Linked DNA regions of Sus scrofa. The protein of the gene in region 1 purifies or fractionates together with the protein of each later gene. This does not show direct contact. Links are inferred from orthologs where the notes say so. Each region holds a gene or a part of one and is shown on either strand. Other genes may lie near its edges.

What was found.
Region 2: the proteins of MAF (region 1) and USP5 purify together in Homo sapiens (affinity purification with western blotting; 3 studies listed by BioGRID, with this or other methods). This does not show direct contact. The link is inferred for Sus scrofa from reciprocal best matches to the Homo sapiens genes MAF and USP5.

The regions. Positions count from the first base shown.
Region 1 is NC_010448.4:8,466,573-8,471,993, forward strand, and holds the start of MAF (transcription factor Maf), read left to right. Parts: upstream 1-2,163; 5' UTR 2,164-2,209; coding exon 2,210-3,330; intron 3,331-5,421.
Region 2 is NC_010447.5:63,842,717-63,846,938, forward strand, and holds the end of USP5 (ubiquitin carboxyl-terminal hydrolase 5), read right to left. Parts: intron 3,825-4,222; coding exon 3,460-3,824; intron 2,979-3,459; coding exon 2,825-2,978; exon of another isoform or gene 2,562-2,824; coding exon 2,477-2,561; intron 1,658-2,476; coding exon 1,564-1,657; 3' UTR 1,026-1,563; downstream 1-1,025. UniProt on the Homo sapiens protein: Deubiquitinating enzyme that participates in a wide range of cellular processes by specifically cleaving isopeptide bonds between ubiquitin and substrate proteins or ubiquitin itself.

The sequences.
Region 1 (5,421 bases):
GGTCTTCCAAACGCTGGGTCCGCTTCGCGCACTCTTGCTTTCCCTCAAATAAATCTCGGCGTCTCCGACTGGCCTATCGCTTTAAAATCTTAGAAACAGAATTGTTGGTTCTTTCTTTTTTCTTCTTTTCTTCTTCTTCTTTTTTTTTTTTTTGCATAAGCTTTAGAAGAATCGATCTAGAAAATTGAATAGTTATTAACATCTGCAACCGGAGGGGAGAAGTAGCCCCCACCTCACCCCACCCCACCCCCACTCTGGGTTTCCGGGCCCGTCCAGAAACCGCGGTTTAAAATTTAACCCTTCGAGGGAAGCTTGTGAAGGCTAGGGTGTTGGGTTTTTTTCCCCTCGTTCCGCGTCAGGATCAAGTCTGAAATAATTAGGTGAAACGTAGAAGTGCAAAGGGCGCGCGGGACCCTGATAAACAGGAGTCAGATTTCATAAGGGGGTGGATGACTCTCTCTGTGTGTGTGTGTGTGTGTGTATGTGTGTGTGTGAGAGAGAGAGAGAGAGAGAGAGAGAGAGAGAGAGAGAGAGAGAGAGAATGAGAATGAATCTCAAAGGCCAAACTGGGGCCAGAGTCGGAAGCCTGAGGGTGAGCGGGGGAGTTAACTCGCGTAGGAGTTCTTTCCCCCCAAGGGCACGCGTCGCCAGCAGGCCCCTGCTTGGAATGGCCCCGAACAACTTATTTCACCTTCTTTAAAAGAGGGTGTGATAAAACGGGCTTTCTGTCTCCGCCACTCCGAATCGCCCTGGCAGGCGCTCGGCCGGGCGACGTCCTGCGCGCAGTCGGGACCCCTGCACCCCCACGCGCCGGCTCCGGGAAGAGGGACAAAGAGTTTGGGTCAAGTTTGAGCTCCGGGCAGTGCCAGGCTCGGGGAAGGAAGGTCCCCTGGGTGGACACCCGGGTGCCGAAGGTGGAGTAAAGAGAAGAAGCTGCCTGGCGAATACAGGATCCAGAGAGTGGGGGTCAGGCCAATCTCCGCTGAGGGAGTGGCAGGCAAGCTGGGGCTCCGGAAGGCAGGCCTCTCTCGCTCCAAAGTAAAGCAAATCGGCCTCCCGGTCCACCTGGTTTCCCACAGCGCCGCTGGAAAACTCCTTCCCCTCTTACACCAAACTTTGTTCCCGGCTCTGCAGCCTCCTGAGGAGGCTGCGGAGCGGGAAGGGTTAAGGCTGCCCGTCCCAGCTGACAGTCAGCTGATTGGGCCCTGATTGACAGCTCCGAAAAGTTTCCTTGTCTCTACACTATTATGCTAATCGCGGCCGCCTCCCATTGGTCTGGAGTACCAGTCAATTTCCCATTTGGGCCTGACGTCACAAGTGCTATAAAACTCAGCAATTGCTTTAAACTCTTCTTGCTGGATCAGAGGCTTTAAAATCTTTTTTTCATCTTCGAGCTGTAGCTCGGGCTGCTCGTCGGCTCGGCCTCCCCCCTTTTGCTCTCCGCCTCGCCTTTCCCCGGGACTTCGCTATTTTGCTTTAAAAAAAAAAAAAAAAAAAAAAGCCAAGAAAGAACTCAACTCCCCCCTCCCTTTCCTCCAGCCCGGCTGCACCTCTGTCTTGCACTTTGCACGGAGGGAGGAAGAGCGCGAGGGAGAGAGAGAGAAAGAGAGAGAGAGAGAGAGAGAGGAAAGAAAGAGAAAAAAAAAATAAAAAGAGCCAGGCTGAAGAGGAGGCGAGAAGCATGAAGTGTTAACTCCCCCGTGCCAAGGCCAGCGCCGCCCGGACAGCCGCCCGCCGCGCTTCCAGCCCCGAGCGGCCGCCGCGCGCGCCCCGCCTGCAGCCCAGGCCGGCGAGGCGAGCCCTCCTTATGCAAAGGGCGCAGCGGAGCGGCGAGCGGGGGACGCCGCGCACCCGGCCGGGCTCCTCCGGCTTCGCCGCCGCCGCCGCCGCCGCCGCCACCGCAACCCGCGGAGGACCTTCCCGAGCCTGAAGCCGCCGGCTCGGCGCGCTAGGAGACGAGCAGGCGAGGAGGGGCCCGGGCGAGCAGCGAGCACATTGGCGTGAGCAGGGGGAGGGAGGGCGGGCGCGGGGGCGCGGGCAGGGCGGGGGGGTGTGTGCGCGCTCGGAGGTTTCGGGCCAGCCACCGCCGCGCGAGCTAGAAGCGCCCCAGCCCGGCAAGCTGGCTCACCCGCTGGCCACCCAGCACAGCCCGCTGGCCCCTCTCCTGCAGCCCATCTGGCGGAGCGGCGGCGGCGGCGGCGGCAGGAGAATGGCATCAGAACTGGCAATGAGCAACTCCGACCTGCCCACCAGTCCCCTGGCCATGGAATATGTTAATGACTTCGATCTGATGAAGTTTGAAGTGAAAAAGGAACCGGTGGAGACCGACCGCATCATCAGCCAGTGCGGCCGTCTCATCGCCGGGGGCTCGCTGTCCTCCACCCCCATGAGCACGCCGTGCAGCTCGGTGCCCCCTTCCCCCAGCTTCTCGGCGCCCAGCCCGGGCTCGGGCAGCGAGCAGAAGGCGCACCTGGAAGACTACTACTGGATGACCGGCTATCCGCAGCAGCTGAACCCCGAGGCGCTGGGCTTCAGCCCCGAGGACGCGGTCGAGGCGCTCATCAGCAACAGCCACCAGCTCCAGGGCGGCTTCGATGGCTACGCGCGCGGGGCGCAGCAGCTGGCCTCGGCGGCCGGGGCCGGCGCCGGCGCCTCCCTGGGCGGCAGCGGCGAGGAGATGGGCCCCGCCGCCGCCGTGGTGTCCGCCGTGATCGCCGCGGCCGCTGCGCAGAGCGGCGCGGGCCCGCACTACCACCACCACCACCACCACCACGCCGCTGGCCACCACCACCACCCGACGGCCGGCGCGCCCGGCGCCGCGGGCAGCGCGTCCGCCTCGGCCGGTGGCGCGGGCGGCGCGGGCAGCGGCGGCCCGGCCAGCGCCGGGGGCGGCGGCGGCGGCGGCGGCGGCGGAGGCGGCGGCGGAGCGGCGGGGGCGGGGGGCGCCCTGCACCCGCACCACGCCGCCGGCGGCCTGCACTTCGACGACCGCTTCTCCGATGAGCAGCTGGTGACCATGTCGGTGCGCGAGCTGAACCGGCAGCTGCGCGGGGTCAGCAAGGAGGAGGTGATCCGGCTGAAGCAGAAGAGGCGGACCCTGAAAAACCGCGGCTATGCCCAGTCCTGCCGCTTCAAGAGGGTGCAGCAGAGGCACGTCCTGGAGTCCGAGAAGAACCAGCTGCTGCAGCAGGTCGACCACCTCAAGCAGGAGATCTCCAGGCTGGTGCGCGAGAGGGACGCGTACAAGGAGAAATACGAGAAGTTGGTGAGCAGCGGCTTCCGAGAAAACGGCTCGAGCAGCGACAACCCGTCCTCTCCCGAGTTTTTCATGTGAGTCTGACACGCGATCCCAGCTAGCCACCTTGATAAGTGCTCCATGGGGGTCCGACTCGGGTGTGGGCTTGCCAGTTCCAGAGCCTTGCTCGCCACCACCTCGCCCCCTCCCCTCCTGAGCTTGCCCCCCGCCCCGCAGTTGCCCCCTGCACACACACACACACACACACACACACACACACGCACGCACACACACACACACACCCTGCTCAGAGTTGGTGGTGGTGGCTGTTTTTCAGTCGGGGAGGGGCTGGTTGTTTGGCTCATGGATTGCCAATCTGAAATTCTCCATAACTTGCTAGATTGTTTTTGTTTTTGTTTTTTTTACCCCCCCCCCAACTTGCACAATGTTCAGAAATCTCGGCAGAGTTCCTCATACTCACCTTTGAAGCCTGCATCCTTCATATTTTTTTTTTCTTCTTCTTCAGTTCATGAGCTGGTGTTCATTTTCTGTGTGTGTGTTTTGTTTGGATTTTTTTTTTTTAATTTGACTTTTTGGAGCTTGCTGTGTTGCCCTCCCCTCCCCCCCACCTTCCACCCTCACTCCCTCTCCACTCATCTCCTCTGAGATTTAAAAAAAAAAAGAAAGAAAAAAAAAAAAGAAAAGCTAAGTTTTTTTTTTCTCCTCCTGAGTTCTTCATATGAGATTGAGCTTGCAAAGGAAAAAAAAAATGTGAAATGTTATAGACTCGCAGCGTGCTGAGTTCCATCGGGGTTTTTTTTAGCATTGTTATGCTAAAATAGAGAAAAAAAAATCCTCATGAACCTGCCACAATCAAGCCTGCATCAACCTTCTGGGTGTGACTTGTGAGTTTTGGCCTTATGATGCCAAATCTGAGAGTTCAGTCTGCCATTAAAAAACTCATTCTCATCTCATGCATTATTATGCTTGCTACTTTGTCTTAGCAACAATGAACTATAACTGTTTCAAAGACTTTATGGAAAAGAGACATTATATTAATAAGAAAAAAAAAGCCTGCATGCTGGACATGTATGGTATAATTATTTTTTTCTTTTTTTTTCCTTTTGGCTTGGAAATGGACGTTCGAAGACTTATGGCATGGCATTCATACTTTTGTTTTATTGCCTCATGACTTTTTTGAGTTCAGAACAAAAAAGTGCAACCGTAGAGCCTTCTTCCCATGAAAGTTTGCATCTGCTCCAAAACTGCTTTGCGTTACTCAGAACTTCAGCCTCCCGTTGTAAATGCACTGAAGGCATTCCTTGTCAAAGATGCCAGAATGGGTTAAAAATTTAACATGGCGAACATTAAAGAACTCTTAATGTTTTCTTTTTAATAAGAATGACACCCCATTTGGGGGACTAAAATTGTGCTGTTGCCTAAAGCAGTCTCAAATTTATTTTTTAAAAAAAGAAATCTTCCCCGTTATTTTTGGTTTGGTTTTTTTTTTTTTAATTTTACTTTTTTTTTTGGCTTTTGGTCATTGTCAAATGTGGAATGCTATGGGTTTCTAGTATATAATTTAATTCTAGTTTTTATAATCTGTTAGCCCAGTTAAAATGTATGCTACAGATAAAGGAATGTTATAGATAAATTTGAAAGAGTTAGGTCTGTTTAGCTGTAGATTTTTTAAAAGATTGATGCACTAAATTGTTTACTGTTGTGATGTTAAGGGGGGTAGAGTTTGCAAGGGGACTGTTTAAAAAAAAAGTAGCTTATACAGCATGTGCTTGCAACTTAAATATAAGTTGGGTATGTGTAGTCTTTGCTATACCACTGACTGTATTGAAAACCAAAGTATTAAAAGGGGAAGCACCCCTGTTTATATCTGTAGGGGTATTTTACATTCAAAATGTATGGGTTTTTTTTTTTCAAAATTAAAGTATTTGGGACTGAATTGCACTAAGATATAACCTGCAAGCATATAATACAAAAAAATTTGCAAAACTGTTTAGAACGCTAATAAAATTTATGCAGTTATAAAAATGGCATTACTGCACAGTTTTAAGATGATGCAGATTTTTTTACAGTTGTATTGTGGTGCAGAACTGGATTTTCTGTAACTTAAAAAAAAATCCACAGTTTTCAAGGCAATAATCAGTAAATGTTATTTTCAGGGACTGACA
Region 2 (4,222 bases), on another chromosome or scaffold:
TTGGCTGCGTTGAGGGTGTTGATGAGCTCCCCCAGATTGTTCTTTCGCCCGTTCATCTTCCAGTTTCCCCCCACGAAGAACTTCCTAGCGGGCGCCATGGCGCTGGAGCCAGCACACTGAAGGTCAGGAGCAGCGCGCGGCCGTCTCCACTGGCCGCTTATATAGAGAGCGGAGAGGCAGAACCCCGCCCCCTTCGCGTCCTGGGCCATGACTGGCCCGCCCCGCGGAAGCCCAGCCCCGGCCCCGCCCGCCGCCCGCCGCCCGCCACCGCCCGCTGCCGCTCGCCGCCGCCCGCGTTGCGAGGTTCTGACGTCACCTTCTTTCTTGTAGCAACGTTCCAGCGGCGTCCAGGCTCGGTGGCTACAGCTTCCGTGGTCTGACTTTGGGGAGAACCGTGCGCCCGGTGCTCAGGGAAACCCCCGCTTCACGGCTTCATCACGCCACCCCCACACCGAGGGATAGGGGAGGGGCCTCTCTCCAGCTCTGGGAAAAGGAGCCTCCTTCCCCATCGGAGCCCCCACATCCCTGAGTGCTGAGCGGACACCTCTGACCCACCCGGGGCCGACCCAGCCCCACAGTAACTGGGCAAAAAACAGGGTTCAGCAGCGGAGGGATGGCCCACCTTGGCTAGAAACTGTGCAGCTAAGGGAGGGGGGTTCAGAAGTCCGCCCTGTCCCCATGAATACCCCGCTTTTTGCTCCAGCAGGCCAAGGCCTGACAAAGGACTACAGCCACTGGGGACATTTGGAAAGAACCCACCTGGGCCCCCTCCGGTATCACGGCTGCAAGAAAGGGCTCTTCCACCCCATCTCTGTTCTGTGACACCCCAGCCCACATCCCCTCATCTAACAGCCCCCACCCCGCAGCCTTCCTCTGCTGCCCCAGAGCTCACCTCACTCAGCCCCCAATCACACCAGCACAAAACATAGAAGGCAAAGGGGCAGGGCCAGGAGCTTTGTGAAACTGGCCCCGCTGCTAGCCCTGGGGAAGACAGCTTCCCCCAAAGGTATCAAACAGGACACAACTGAGCCACTGTACTTTTATTCACATCCTGTATTTTGGCATTTTCCAGAAGGACAGGGGAGAGACAGGGTGGGGAAAAGACTGAGGCAGGAGGGCGAGGGGGGTCCCCATTTCCCTCAGATCCCTCCTTGCCCAACCACACGGGGAGCACACACAACGGGGGAGGGGAGGCACAGAAGCCCCCTCCTGTGGAAGAGGCTGCACAAAGCTATACCCACGCCACACAAACAAACGAGCCCGCTCCACGCTGGGCCAGCAGGATCACAGAGAAGCAGAGCCCTGTGGGGTCAAGGGCAGGAAAGCAACAGTCTCCTCACAGACAGGCAGCCGGCCCCTCCCGTTCCCCTTCCTGCTCCATCCCCAAAGTCTCCAGAGTGCCCCCCCCACTTCGCTTGGCCATTCTCTCATAGCCTCTAGCTTCTTCCCTGCTGCTGGGGACACGAAAAGGAAAAGGGTACGGGAGCAGGGGGGCTGACATCCATCCCTCATGCCGGGTGGTCTGTCCCCTGCCCTCAGTGGTTAAGGGCTCAGGGTGGGCTCTTAGCTGGCCACTCTCTGGTAGAAGTAGATGTAGCCCAGGTCCTTGGGCGGCTTCTCAGAGGCACACACTTTCTGGTCGTTGTAGATCACCCATCTGGGGAAGAATGTGGGGGGAAAAGGATGAACAGCTCCTCTCTTGGAGGTGGCTCCTGGTGATTCCCGGGCAAAGGCTCCCAACATTCTCTGCCTGGGTCCCCAAACCTACAGTCCAGCTGCCTATCTGAAGGGAGCATCCCAATCTCACAGGGTCATTGCGACTGGACTCAGGGCTTTCAGACCCTGTGGTGTCTTTATAGCCACTTGCCACCCGTTCCTATTAGGCAGGGATCAGACAGGATATGTTTCGGGTTTTGCAGGCCATCTGGTCTCTGATACAACTACTTGACTTTCCTGTGGCAACTCGAAGAGAGCCACAGATAGATAAGTGGGTAATTGGCTGTGCTCACCAAGACTTTTTCTTTTTACGGCTGCACCTGCAAGCATACGGAGATTCCCAGGCTAGGGACCAAATTGGAGCCGTGGCCGCCGGCCTGTGCCACAGCCACAGTAACACCAGATCTGAGCCCTGCCTGCGAACTACACGCATCAAGCAGATTGCAGTAACGCCGGATCCTTAACCCACTGAGCGAGGCCCTGGATAGAACCCGCATGCTCATGGATGTTAGTCGGGTTCTTAACCCACTGAGCCACAATGGGAACTCTCAGTAGGACTTTATAAAAGTGAGTGGCCGAATTCAGCCTCTGGGCCCTTGTTGGCCAATCCCTGCCGTGAGGCTTTCTCTGTTTCCGCTGAGTTTGCGGCCCCACCAGCAACCCTTTACCTTCCCTCACACATAATCTGAGGACTTCCAGGATGCCCCTACCATTCCCACCATCACGCTCCCATTCAAAAACGCACGTGCTGGCCCCTCACCTGCCTTCCTTCTTGATGTGGCAGACATAGTGACCACACATGGTTGACGTGCCCATGTGACTAATGAAGGCGAAGAGCTGATACTCTAGGGAAGGGGGGGAGAGAGGGCAGAGAGGGAGGGCGGCTGGACCCCACAGCTCACACACAGGACGGGATTTCAGGGAACTGGAGGCATGCACTGGGCCCAGAGGCTCTCTCTCGTCCTAGGAACCCACCTCCAGGAGTCGAGCTGGTGGAAAGAAGCTTCTGCCCCCTGTCCGCCTCCTCCCACCACCCCAGGGAAGCAGACCTGGTGGAGCCAACGGGCTAGATCCCACCAGGCCTGTTCTGGTTTCAGGGGACACTCACTTCCAGGACCATCCCGGACTTTAGGTCCCACTGGTATGGACTCGGAGATGGAGTCGGCAGCGGAGCGGCCCTCCGAGATGTCCATGGCAGCCTCTGCGTCCAGGTCATCAATGTGACTGAAGATCCAGTCCACAGCCCGTTCTAAACTATTGTTCTTAGAAAAGAGAGAAGAGTCACTTTTTCTAGCACTGTCAGGCTGGAGAAGGCTGCCAGGGAAGGCCTCAGCTTCTTTATCTTTTTTTTTTCTTTCTTTTTTTAGCCTTTTCTAGGGCTGCACCCACAGCATGTGGCGGTTCCCAGGATAGGGGTCTAATCGGAGCTGTGGCTGCTGGCCTACACCACAGCCACAGCAGTGCAGGAACCGAGCCGCATCTGCGACCCACACCAGAGCTCACGGCAACACCAGATCCTTCACCCACTGAGCAAGGCCAGGGATCGAACCCGCAACCTCATGGTTCCTAGTCAGATTCGTTAACCACTGCGCCACGACGGGAACTCCGGCCTCGGCTCCTTTAGCATCTTTAGCTCCTCAGACCCGTTACGTGGGTCATCCTTGGTCTTGCTCACGAGGGATAGAAGCTTGCTCCCACCCTCTCCTTCCCACAGGACTGAGCTCGGCTGGGGGCAGGCTATACCGTGGCCCGCAGAGCTTTCAGGGCCTGGTCCCGGGAGAAGCCCATGGAGACAATGGTGGTCACGCAGTCCTCTGGTGGGGGGTCAGCTGCTGCGCTTGTGGAGCCGGGCCCGCTGGAGCCAGGCAGGATGAGAGGGTTCGCGAAATCTGTGGACGTGAAGGGGTTGAAGTGTGTGGGGCGTGCAGCGGCCCCGCCCCACCCAGCTCCCCACCCCAGCCTACCTGGATCGTCCATGTGCGACATGACCCAGTTCATGGCGGCCTCGGCCCCGCTGTTGCCCGTGTAGTAGACGGCTTTGCGGCAGGCGTCCATCGGGAAGCCCATCTCCACCAGCTGGATGATAACCGATTCATCCAACATGGGCGCTGTTGGCAGAGAAGCGCGGGCATGGGGCGTGCCTCCTGGGGCCACTCCCTGCCCCCTCCCTCCTGCCAGAGTCCAGCCCCCAGGACTCCCCCAACCACCTTGCATGCATTTTTCCTCCAAGGCCCAGCACCTGATTCCAGAACTAAAATGACAACACAACCTGATGGGGGGCCAGCCGTATCCGAAAGGTACAGAACTCAGGCTACAGATCCCCCAGGGAGCCCCTTCCTCGCCCACTGTCTGGAGGACGAGCCCCCGCCCCTGCCCCCACCCAAGTAACAAGGACAGAGGCAATCAGCCAGTGTGCCACCATCCACACAGAGACCATGGCTGGGAGGGCTCGATCGGTCCCCATGTTCATCAAGAGGGCCAAGGAAAATTTGAAAGGGAGGACAGG